2 linked regions of the Rattus norvegicus genome follow. The protein of the gene in region 2 binds, or shares a complex with, the protein of the main gene of each other region. Links are inferred from orthologs where the notes say so. Each region holds a gene or a part of one and is shown on either strand. Other genes may lie near its edges. The genes, in order: Fuz and Wdpcp.

Region 1 (4,558 bases), on a different chromosome or scaffold from region 2:
GGTGGCAAGGACCCCACCAGCCAAGGGAGTAGCACGGCTTCAGGCATGCCTAGGCGCCACCAGCCATCGGTCGCTGCCACCACCCGGCCTGATACCAGCAGGCTGACAAAGGCTGTGCCAGTGGCCTCTGCGAACCCTGAGAGGGTTTCCTGGTGAAACGGTCAGACTAGATGTCATTAGGCAAGGAGGGACATTCCCTTCCTAGCTAGGCATGGAGGAGAAGAGCAGCCATGAGACCAGAGACACTCCAGCATGCAAGGCTGCCAAGCTCCTGTTTGAAACCCTCTCTGTAAATAGGGATGCTTTAACTTTCCTGTTCGTCAGCATTCTCAATTCTTCATACACTACTTATTTTATCTATTTATTTATTTATTTTTTGGTTCTTTTTTTCGGAGCTGGGGACTGAACCCAGGGCCTTGCGCTTCCTAGGCAAGCGCTCTACCACTGAGCTAAATCCCCAACCCCTGTTTATTTTTTAAAAAAAGATTTATATATAAGTATACTGTAGCTGTCTTCAGAGACACCAGAAGAGGGCATAAGATCCCATTACAGATGGTTGTGAGCCACCATGTGGTTGCTGGGATTTGAACTGAGGGCCTCTGGAAGAGCAGTCAGTGCTCTTAACCACTGAGCCATCTCTCCAGCCCTGTTCGTTTCTTTCTTTCTTTCTTTTTTTCTAATTTATTTCTCCTTCAGTTATGGGGATGGAACGCAAGGCTTTGGGCATGCTAGCTAGGCAGCTCTCCCGTGGAGCCACAACTGAAGTTTTGAGTCATGTGTTCACTGAGCTGCCTAGACTGGCCTTAAAGGTTGCATCCTCTTCCTCAGCCTCCAGAGTAGCTGGAGTGACAGGCCTGCACCAGGAGGCCCTGCAGTGCCAATAGTTTTAACCACACATCTACAAGTTGATCCCCTACTGGATGAGAAGGCACAGTGCTGACCAATGGAAGCTCTGAGGTCAGGACACACTGCCAGGAGAGGCATAACTTGAAGAGAGGAAGACTGGGTGGGTGTGGTGGAGCATGCCTTTAATCCCAGCACTCGGAGGCAAAGGCTGGTAGATGTTTGTGAGTTGGAGGTCAGCTTGGTCTACAGAGCGAGTTCAAGGCAGCCTGGGAACTGTGTCTTAGAGAGATTGATCTGCTCAAACAGAAATGCTCCCTGTGAGGCAGAGAGGCAGGGAGCATGTGAAGTGGAGGAGACTGGAGAGGTGGAAGCTGCGGGCGAACAGTCAGTGTACCCTGGCGAAGACAGTTCTTTTAGAGTTACAGATAAAACATGATTCCAGGACGATAAGAGGGTGCTAGGGCAATGTCCAGAGGGAGAAAATAAAGGAAGGCCGAGTAGAACCATGGGGACACAGTTATTTCTATAGCTGCCCCAATACCTGCATGACAGACCCCTCTGGAGGAATGACACAGTCCACACACTGGGTCAGGTCCCCGATGAGCTCTGAATTCCCCAGGAAGCTGTCAATGAGACAGTAGCTGGCCTGGTAGAGGAAAAAGGAGGTGTCTAGGACCCAAGCGGGCCCAGATCAGCCCAGAGAAAACTGGGGCCAGCTCCAGGGTTAAACAAGCTCTCCCAAGAACCCAAGGGCCCATGCTTTCCCAGTGCCTACTGGGAATTGTAGTTTCAGACAAACAGGCCTGAATTAGGGATCCTAACTGCACTCACATCTCACAGCCTCACCCTCAGCTCTTTCTTCAGTCTCTCTACATTCCGGATATTGGTCAGCTCCTCAAGTCCCACAATGAGAACCTAGAAGAGTCACATAGGATAGTGGGATCTGTAATAGGATCTAGTCAGAGAGGACAGTGCTTGGATGGATATTGAGAGGAAAGTCAGGTCTGGATCCCTGCATATGAAGGAGGAGGTCTGGTTCCTGGATTGCTAGGTATGAGGGAGGAGGGCTGTTTGGATGCTTGGGTGTGAGAAAAAAATGTAGGGATTTGGACTGAGGGGAAAGGACTGGGAGTGCAGCTCTCTTGAGTTTTGGAGAAAAGAGGGCCCAGTCTCACCATGGCCCCAAACACCATGTGGAGCATTCTTTCCAGCTTCAGCTCAGAGGTGCCCTCCTCAGATGACAGAGCAATGAGGGTGATGCTGTGGGGATGAAAGATGAGAAGCAAGAATGAGGTCAGGCCTGGGAAACTGAGCCAGGCGCTTCCGTGTGTCCCAGCTATTTCTACACTGTTCGCTACATCCTGATGGGGGTGGGGGTGGGGAATCCCTCTGGGATCACCTAAGCCAGGAACCATTGCTCAGATCTTGTTCCCTTGCTCCCGCCAAGGGACCTGTCATGGAAGTTCTTCCACACTACGGTGGTGTCTTCTGTTCTTGCGGAGTTCAGTTGCACATCCAGATTCTGGCCGAACATGTGGACTCCATTGAGGGACCCGATGACAGAAAAAGGGAGCTGAGGAAGAGTGGGGAAGCATTGCAGTAGCACCCAAGACCCATTGAGACCCCGCTGTCCCACGTTGCAATCTCCCAATATTCCCCCAAAGTTCTTCAGGAAACCAGATTTATTAGTCCCCCATAACAGCTAAAGGGCGCGAGCCTCTAATCCCTGCATGTATGCAGTCCCAGCTTCCCAAATCCTAATTTAGACGCAGGAGTCGAATGCCCCCACCTGTTGACGGGAGGGGGCGCCTCCGCTGCTGCTCCGACAGAACAGGGGAACCCCGCTAGAGGCTGCGAGGCACAGCAGATGCACCGTGCTTCCTGGCCCGTCATCCCCCATCTCGAAGCCCGCACCCGGAAAGTCACGCCCCTGGAGACTCTCGGTGTGGATCTGGGAGCATGCGGGTAGGCAAAGTGGCCTGCTGTTTGGAGCCGCCAAAGGGCGAGAAGCGGGATCATCAATTCAGCCCCTCCAACTGGTCCGGCCCCGCCCCGGCCGGAAGTAATCATGACCCTAATAAAGATGGCGACAAGTACTTCTTGCCAAGCATTCAAGTTGTTCCCGGACAGTTTCTTATCTTTTGTATAACGAGAATGAAGAATCTAGCTTGAAGACGGTGGTGGTAACAAGACGTTGCCTACCAACCTTCTTGTGTGCTGTAATACATTTTTTAAACAACGGGTTGAAGATGGGGACAGTGCTAAGGCATTGAATGGCAACGACAGTCAGCGTGGCTTTTTCATTCCATAGTGGTAAATACCTTGCCCTAATCAAAGATGGCGGTATGCTCAGGCATTGCCTAGCAACCACCATTCACAATAATTTCGGTTTCAAAACTCCGAAGCTCCGTGCCACCGTCTCCCTCTCCTTTTTTCAGAGTGGTTTGATCCAGGCAGCGTTGCCTAGTAACCACCAAATGAGGTGGTTGTTTTTGTTATTAGTAAAAGGCAGAAGAAAAGAGAACCTTTCTTTTCCAAAATCATGAAAACTACATAATTTTTGTAACGAATTCATGCCTATGATGGTATAGCGTGAAGAAAGTTAAAGCACGGTCGACACCTCTGTCTCCTGCGTGGGATACGTGTCGGCCCGGAGATCCCCGTAATAGATCTCCGTAATAAACCTTGCCTTTGCTTATTACATCCAAAAAAAAAAAAAAAAAAAAAAAAGGAAGTTAAAGCACTGAAAACTTCCTTCCATTGCAGCAATAGAAGTTAGCATCGCGGGACCAGGACAGATTTTCACAAATAAGATCACTGTATTAGAGAACCCACTCCACAAAGCTGACCTTCTTATGCGTGCCATGGCGTACTCGCTATAATAATCACATTTTATTTTCTAATTAAAAATAGTATGTCTACAGCTTTATGTCTTTATTTTCTATTTCCTGGGAGGGTTGCAATCTGTAGGCCAGGTTGGCCTTGAACTCCTGGCAATTCTTTGGCCTGGAATGGCAAACGCCAGGCACTCTCATTCTTTCTCTTTTTGTTTACTGTTGTTTAGTGTATTTTTGAGGTGTGGTCTCATGTGGCCCATGCAGACCTGGGACTCGATATGTAGCCCTGAACTTTTGATTCTTTTTCTAACACTTGTCTTTCTAATGTTTTTTTTTTTATATAATCAATTTCTATAAGTTCAAGGACTTGAACATTTTCCATTGACAAATATTAGATTTCTCCTGGTGAATTTCTTTTTTTTTTTCTTTTTTCTTTTTTTCGGAGCTGGGGACCGAACCCAGGACCTTGCGCTTGCTAGGCAAGCGCTCTACCACTGAGCTAAATCCCCAACCCCATGAATTTCAAATGATACAATAAAACAAAAGAATTTTTGGAGACAAAATATTGCTATGTAGCCAAGGGTGGGGTTATGCTGGATCTAACCCAGTGTTGCCACTGTCACACCCTTTGCTGATTCTGTAAATTCTGAGGCAGCAGTTTTAGCTGCTTGATTACTGTATGTTTGACAGCAATTGCTTTTTTATTATGCATATTAGAAAACATTTTTAGTGGTTTATTTATTTTTATTTCATGTGCACTGGTGTCTTGCTTTAATGGATGAAGGTGGGGTTGGGGATTTAGCTCAGTGGTAGAGCGCTTGCCTAGGAAGCGCAAGGCCCTGGGTTCGGTCCCCAGCTCCGAAAAAAAAAAGAAC
Region 2 (4,583 bases):
GAAGAGATGGACTTAAGCCAAAAAAGAATCCAAAATGGAGAACTGTGAGAAGAACTAGATGTTGGCTGGTAAGAAGCCTTGGCTCAGGCAAGATAAGAAAGCTAAGGATGGGGCTGGAGAGATGGCTCAGGTTGAGAGCACTGATTGCTCTTCCAGAGGTCCTGAGTTCAAGTCCCAGCAACCACATGGTGGCTCACAACCATCTGTAATGAGATCTGATGCCCTCTTCTGGGGTGTCTGAGATAGCTACAGTGTACTGATGCATAAAATAAATGAATAAATCTTAAAAAAGAAAAAAAGAAAGCTAAGGATGTATTAAAATAGACACCTTAGTAGGCTCCTCTTTCTCCAACCTCTATTACTGGTACAATCTGAGTCTGAACAGTCATAAACACATCCTGACTGTAAACATGGATTCTTCAAGATAGAAGACAATGGCTGAGGCAAAGAATCGGGCTTCCTGGCTTTGCAAGGCCCATTCCTGATCAGTCCGCATTTCAGAAGTTACGCATGTCACAGGAAATCCAATAGTAGAAGAAATGGTTCCCTGAAGATGAGCTCACTCTAAGGACACGCTTCTGTTCTGGGTAATGACTGTCTTCCACCAAACGTTGTGATAAAACACTGACTGAAAGCAACTTGGGGGGGGGAAAGGTTTACTTCAACTTACACCTCCATTTCACAGTATTTCATTAGTGAAACCCAAGGCAGAAACTGAAGCAAAGACCATAAAAAAAAAATGCTGCTCACTGGTTTGTTCAACTACCTTTCATATTTGCACGCCTGTCCAGACTTCCTTCAATGATGAACAACAATGGAGTGTGAACACATAAGCCAAAAAGACCCTTTCTTCCCCCAAGTTACAGCAGTGGTAACCATTAATCCCAGCACTCAGGAGATTCTCTCCTTCCGAGTGACTCTAGTTTCTGTCAAATCAATGAAAACTAACCAGCCCACCACAGCACTACACACACAGCTCTGTGTCCTCACCGTAGCTGCCTAACCCCTTATGAGAGGCTTCCAAGACAGAGCCCATCTTTTAACAATGACGAGATCACCATGTTACCATTAGGAATTACAAAGTTTTGTTCCATGCTACGGTGGTTCCTAAGACTGCTATCCTAAGGTCCCGTGGCAGGTTTATCAGGTCAGCATTAAATCAGCTCCAGCCCTTGGCTCTTCACTTCGAAATCCTGTAATCTCTCCCTCAGCCATCAAGTGAAACTGGAGGCAAGTCGTGCTCTCTCTATCAAAAGTGTGATGTATCCACACATGGTTCCTCAGTAGGTAAGACTATAAAGCAACCGAACTAATGCCTACTAGAAAACCAAGGAGAAACAGAACGTACAGAGGCATGCCCTGGAATCAGAGAGTCTCTGACACTGAGGTAACGTTTAGAAACGCAACCCACAAATGAACTAAGTGTGGACAGAGACACAGGAAGCATTCCAACGTAAAAAGATTAGTGCTCAAGAACAAAAGGAAGGCACCAAGTGAATAAAGTGATTCTAGGAGCCATTCGAGTGAGATACAGTCTATTGAAACCTAAATGCTATTGGACCCAGCAGTTTTATGTCAACCTGACACAAGCTAATACAGTCTTAAGTTAGGAGGAATCCTCAACTGAAAAAAATGCTTCCACCATAAGATCAGCCTGTAGACAAGCCCATGGGGTGTTTTCTTAATTACTGTTGAAGAGGGAGGGCCCAGCCCATTATGGGTGGTGCCATCCCTGGGCTGGTGGTCCTGGGTTCTATAAGGAAGCAGACTGAGCAAGCCAAGAGCGACAAGCCAGTAAGCGGCACCCCTCCATGGTCTCTGCAACAGTTCATGCCCTCCAGGTCCCTACCTGTATTGAGTTCCTCGAATGATGAGCCAAAATGTGGAAGTGTAAGACAAATGAATCCTTTGCCCCTAACCTGCTTTTGGTCAGGCCGTTTCATCGCAGAAGTGGAAGCCCTAACTAAAATAGACCCTAAGGCATTATGTTTCTTTCTCCAAATACTAAATACAAAAACAAAACTGAAGCCATCCAGCATCCATTTTCTAGTGACGTTAAATTCTGAAGTTAGACCAATACCATATTCACTGATCTGTTCCGAAGCTTCGCGTCTTTTCGAATATCCGCTCAAAACAGAGAATGCAGAAATTCACCTTAACAACTTTGATTTTCAGTGAAAACCTCTTGAGTTGTTTTAGCCGCTAACATTCCGCCTGAAACAACCAGTGTGTCCCAATCTCCCCTGGAAATAACGGGTCTGGCAAAACTTTATCAAGACGTTTGTAAAGCTCATCCAGTTTCCAAAAAGAGAATGAGCAAAAAGTGTCAGTGTTCACAGTAGGCAAAGAAAGTTAGATCCCGGCACCACCGGCTATTACAGGGAAGGGGCTCACTCCACAAACCTTTCTGACTTTACTTTGGAAAAGTTGGACTGAACTCAAACTGCAAGACACTCTTCCCTCCAGAAAACTGTGGCATCCACTCCTGACCCCAACAGGGGACTCGAGAGGTCGCCCACGCCTGCCGACTACGGATTCAGGATACGAACAACCGTGCCGCGCCCTGCTCTGGCCCCTAGATAAAAAGAAAATCCCTCCCGGCCGAGCTCACCTGCTTCAGGCGTGGGGACGCAGCTCCACTCTGTCTCGGTTCCGAGAGCGTTCAGGTGAGCCTTCCCTGTCGCCTAGCAACGGTGAAGCTGCCGGTTCCTCCGCAAGCGTCAATTCCTCCCGCCTCTGAGAGAGTGCGTTTTTAAAAGGTTTTGTTTCCGGGTCGAGCTGGCTTTTTTTTTTTTGCAACGGAAGGTCTCTTTGCCTCCCTTGTTTAGTCTTGGGGGAGGATAGATTCTCGGTGGAGTGGCGGGTGCTGTCGCTCAGGGGTCGTTTCTCCTCCCTCGAGTTAACGCCTCCCCTCCCGCCAATTGGTGAGCGACGTCAGGCAGGCGCCTCATCCAAAGCACCAACCCTCTGCTCGCAGTCGTGCTCCAATCACAGAGGCTCAGCCCCGGGGACTACTTTGCAGTCCGCGAGGCGCGTAGGAAGAAGAGGTTTTTGGGTATTGTAGTTTAGTTCTGTCAGGAATGCACGAAGGTGGGCGCCAGAGAGCCCCAGAAGAACTACACTTCCCAGAAATGGCCGGGGCTTTAGCCGAACCTTTCCTGACCAGCCCGGCTCTGTCTCCCAGAGTCTGTTCCGCTGTAGAGGTGACCTGACTGCTGGAGACTGTCTTTGCTGGTGCAGAGATCGGCCTTGCAGTTTGCAATAATGGTGAGTGTGGGCTCCTGGAACTTGCAGCGGCTCCGGCCTCTCGGCCTCCTGCGCTTGATGCGCTTTAGAAAAGCAGTAATGCCAGGCGCTGTCCTTCGCGCGGTTTGCAAATCCGACTCACCCTCGCGACTGTCGCAGTAACCCAGAAATTGGAAAGGGTTTCGCTTCCCTTGGGGGTTCTTAAAAGCACTCTAGAGAAATCGCTGTCCTTGGAAAGGCGGGTCTCAATCTTTGCACATGACTGAGGGACCAAATTTTCTCCGAAGGACGTTAAAGGATTTGATGTGGGGGATGTGATTTGATGGGAGGGGAAGATCGGGTCCTAACTCTATTTTGCCTCTTAAGCTCATGGAAAGAATAGGCCTCTGATGTTGAGGCAGTGCCCCAGGTTATGATCCCAGTTTTCAGGAGACATGTTTCCACCATATTTAATTTAAAAGAAAACAGATGTTTCTGAAAACCTATTCTTGATCTCCGTTTGTAATGCCAGGACTGGTTAGCGTAGCTAGTCAAACAGTGCGGGTATTCTTTACTACTCCGTCATGAATTCCAAAAACCTTCTTGCAGATGTAACGCAACCATCTTGTCGAAGCTCTAGATCTATCTTGTCCCCAGCTGGGGGCGGGGGAGGGGGGTGAAAGAGCTCTGACGTAGGACTAATCTTCGTGCTGTTTGAAGGTGACATTTGCCACCAGACTGGAAATTGCTACGTACTTTAGAATTTACATTTTAAAAATACTTGTTCTCCTTTAATTTCAAGATGTGTGAGATGAATTGGAAATTTTTTGGATGGACTGGAAATTTCACAGAACCCAAAAAGACATGTTTTCAAACAAAGACAAAAACTCCTCTTAACCTCTATAAGAGACCGTAAGGGGATAACTATTAATTTTCTGTCATCAGTGCCTAGTTATTTTTGCACATAAGTAGTTATTTAAATTATGGCTTAAGCAGTTTCTACCTTAATAATTTTAGTCATAAAACGGCACTAGTTATCCAAGAACTTCGAACTTTAGGCTATTAGACCTATGTGAAAACCTTTTTAAAAATCATCTTATCCAAAACCCTACTTCAAATACTAAAATTTAGTTTGTTGATACCCAGAATACAAGTTGCTCAAGGTCACAAGGCTTGCATGAGGGTCTCTTTATTCTTCCCATTTACCAGGACTGTATTACACTTCGTAATCCCTGCTAGGAGATAAGTCCACCAAGTCTGCGTGTAACATCTGATAGCTTTGTTCCTTGTCATTCAGAGTGTTGAAACTCTGGAGTTAAAAGGGCTTTTAGGGATTGTTTCATCTAATCCTAAAACAG

Evidence for each region.
Region 1: the proteins of Wdpcp (region 2) and Fuz are in contact, whole or in part, in a cryo-EM structure (PDB 7Q3D), measured with the Homo sapiens proteins. The link is inferred for Rattus norvegicus from reciprocal best matches to the Homo sapiens genes WDPCP and FUZ. Residues at the interface, in NP_056994.3 of Homo sapiens: Arg55, Ile57, Asn75, Lys78, Leu82, Glu418, Asp419, Arg420, Leu421; in NP_079405.2 of Homo sapiens: His293, Glu372, Glu373, Pro374, Arg379, Gln397, Pro399, Thr400, His401, Gly402, Ser405, Leu406.

The regions. Positions count from the first base shown.
Region 1 is NC_086019.1:104,514,401-104,518,958, reverse strand, and holds the start of Fuz (protein fuzzy homolog), read right to left. Parts: upstream 2,884-4,558; 5' UTR 2,747-2,883; coding exon 2,636-2,746; intron 2,420-2,635; coding exon 2,298-2,419; coding exon of another isoform or gene 2,246-2,297; intron 2,107-2,245; coding exon 2,022-2,106; intron 1,762-2,021; coding exon 1,693-1,761; exon of another isoform or gene 1,678-1,692; intron 1,493-1,677; coding exon 1,388-1,492; intron 150-1,387; coding exon 1-149. UniProt on the Homo sapiens protein: Probable planar cell polarity effector involved in cilium biogenesis. May regulate protein and membrane transport to the cilium.
Region 2 is NC_086032.1:99,845,832-99,850,414, reverse strand, and holds the start of Wdpcp (WD repeat-containing and planar cell polarity effector protein fritz homolog), read right to left. Parts: upstream 2,872-4,583; 5' UTR 2,612-2,871; intron 1-2,611. Other genes in the region: Mdh1 (malate dehydrogenase, cytoplasmic), read left to right, coding at 3,265-3,267. UniProt on the Homo sapiens protein: Probable effector of the planar cell polarity signaling pathway which regulates the septin cytoskeleton in both ciliogenesis and collective cell movements.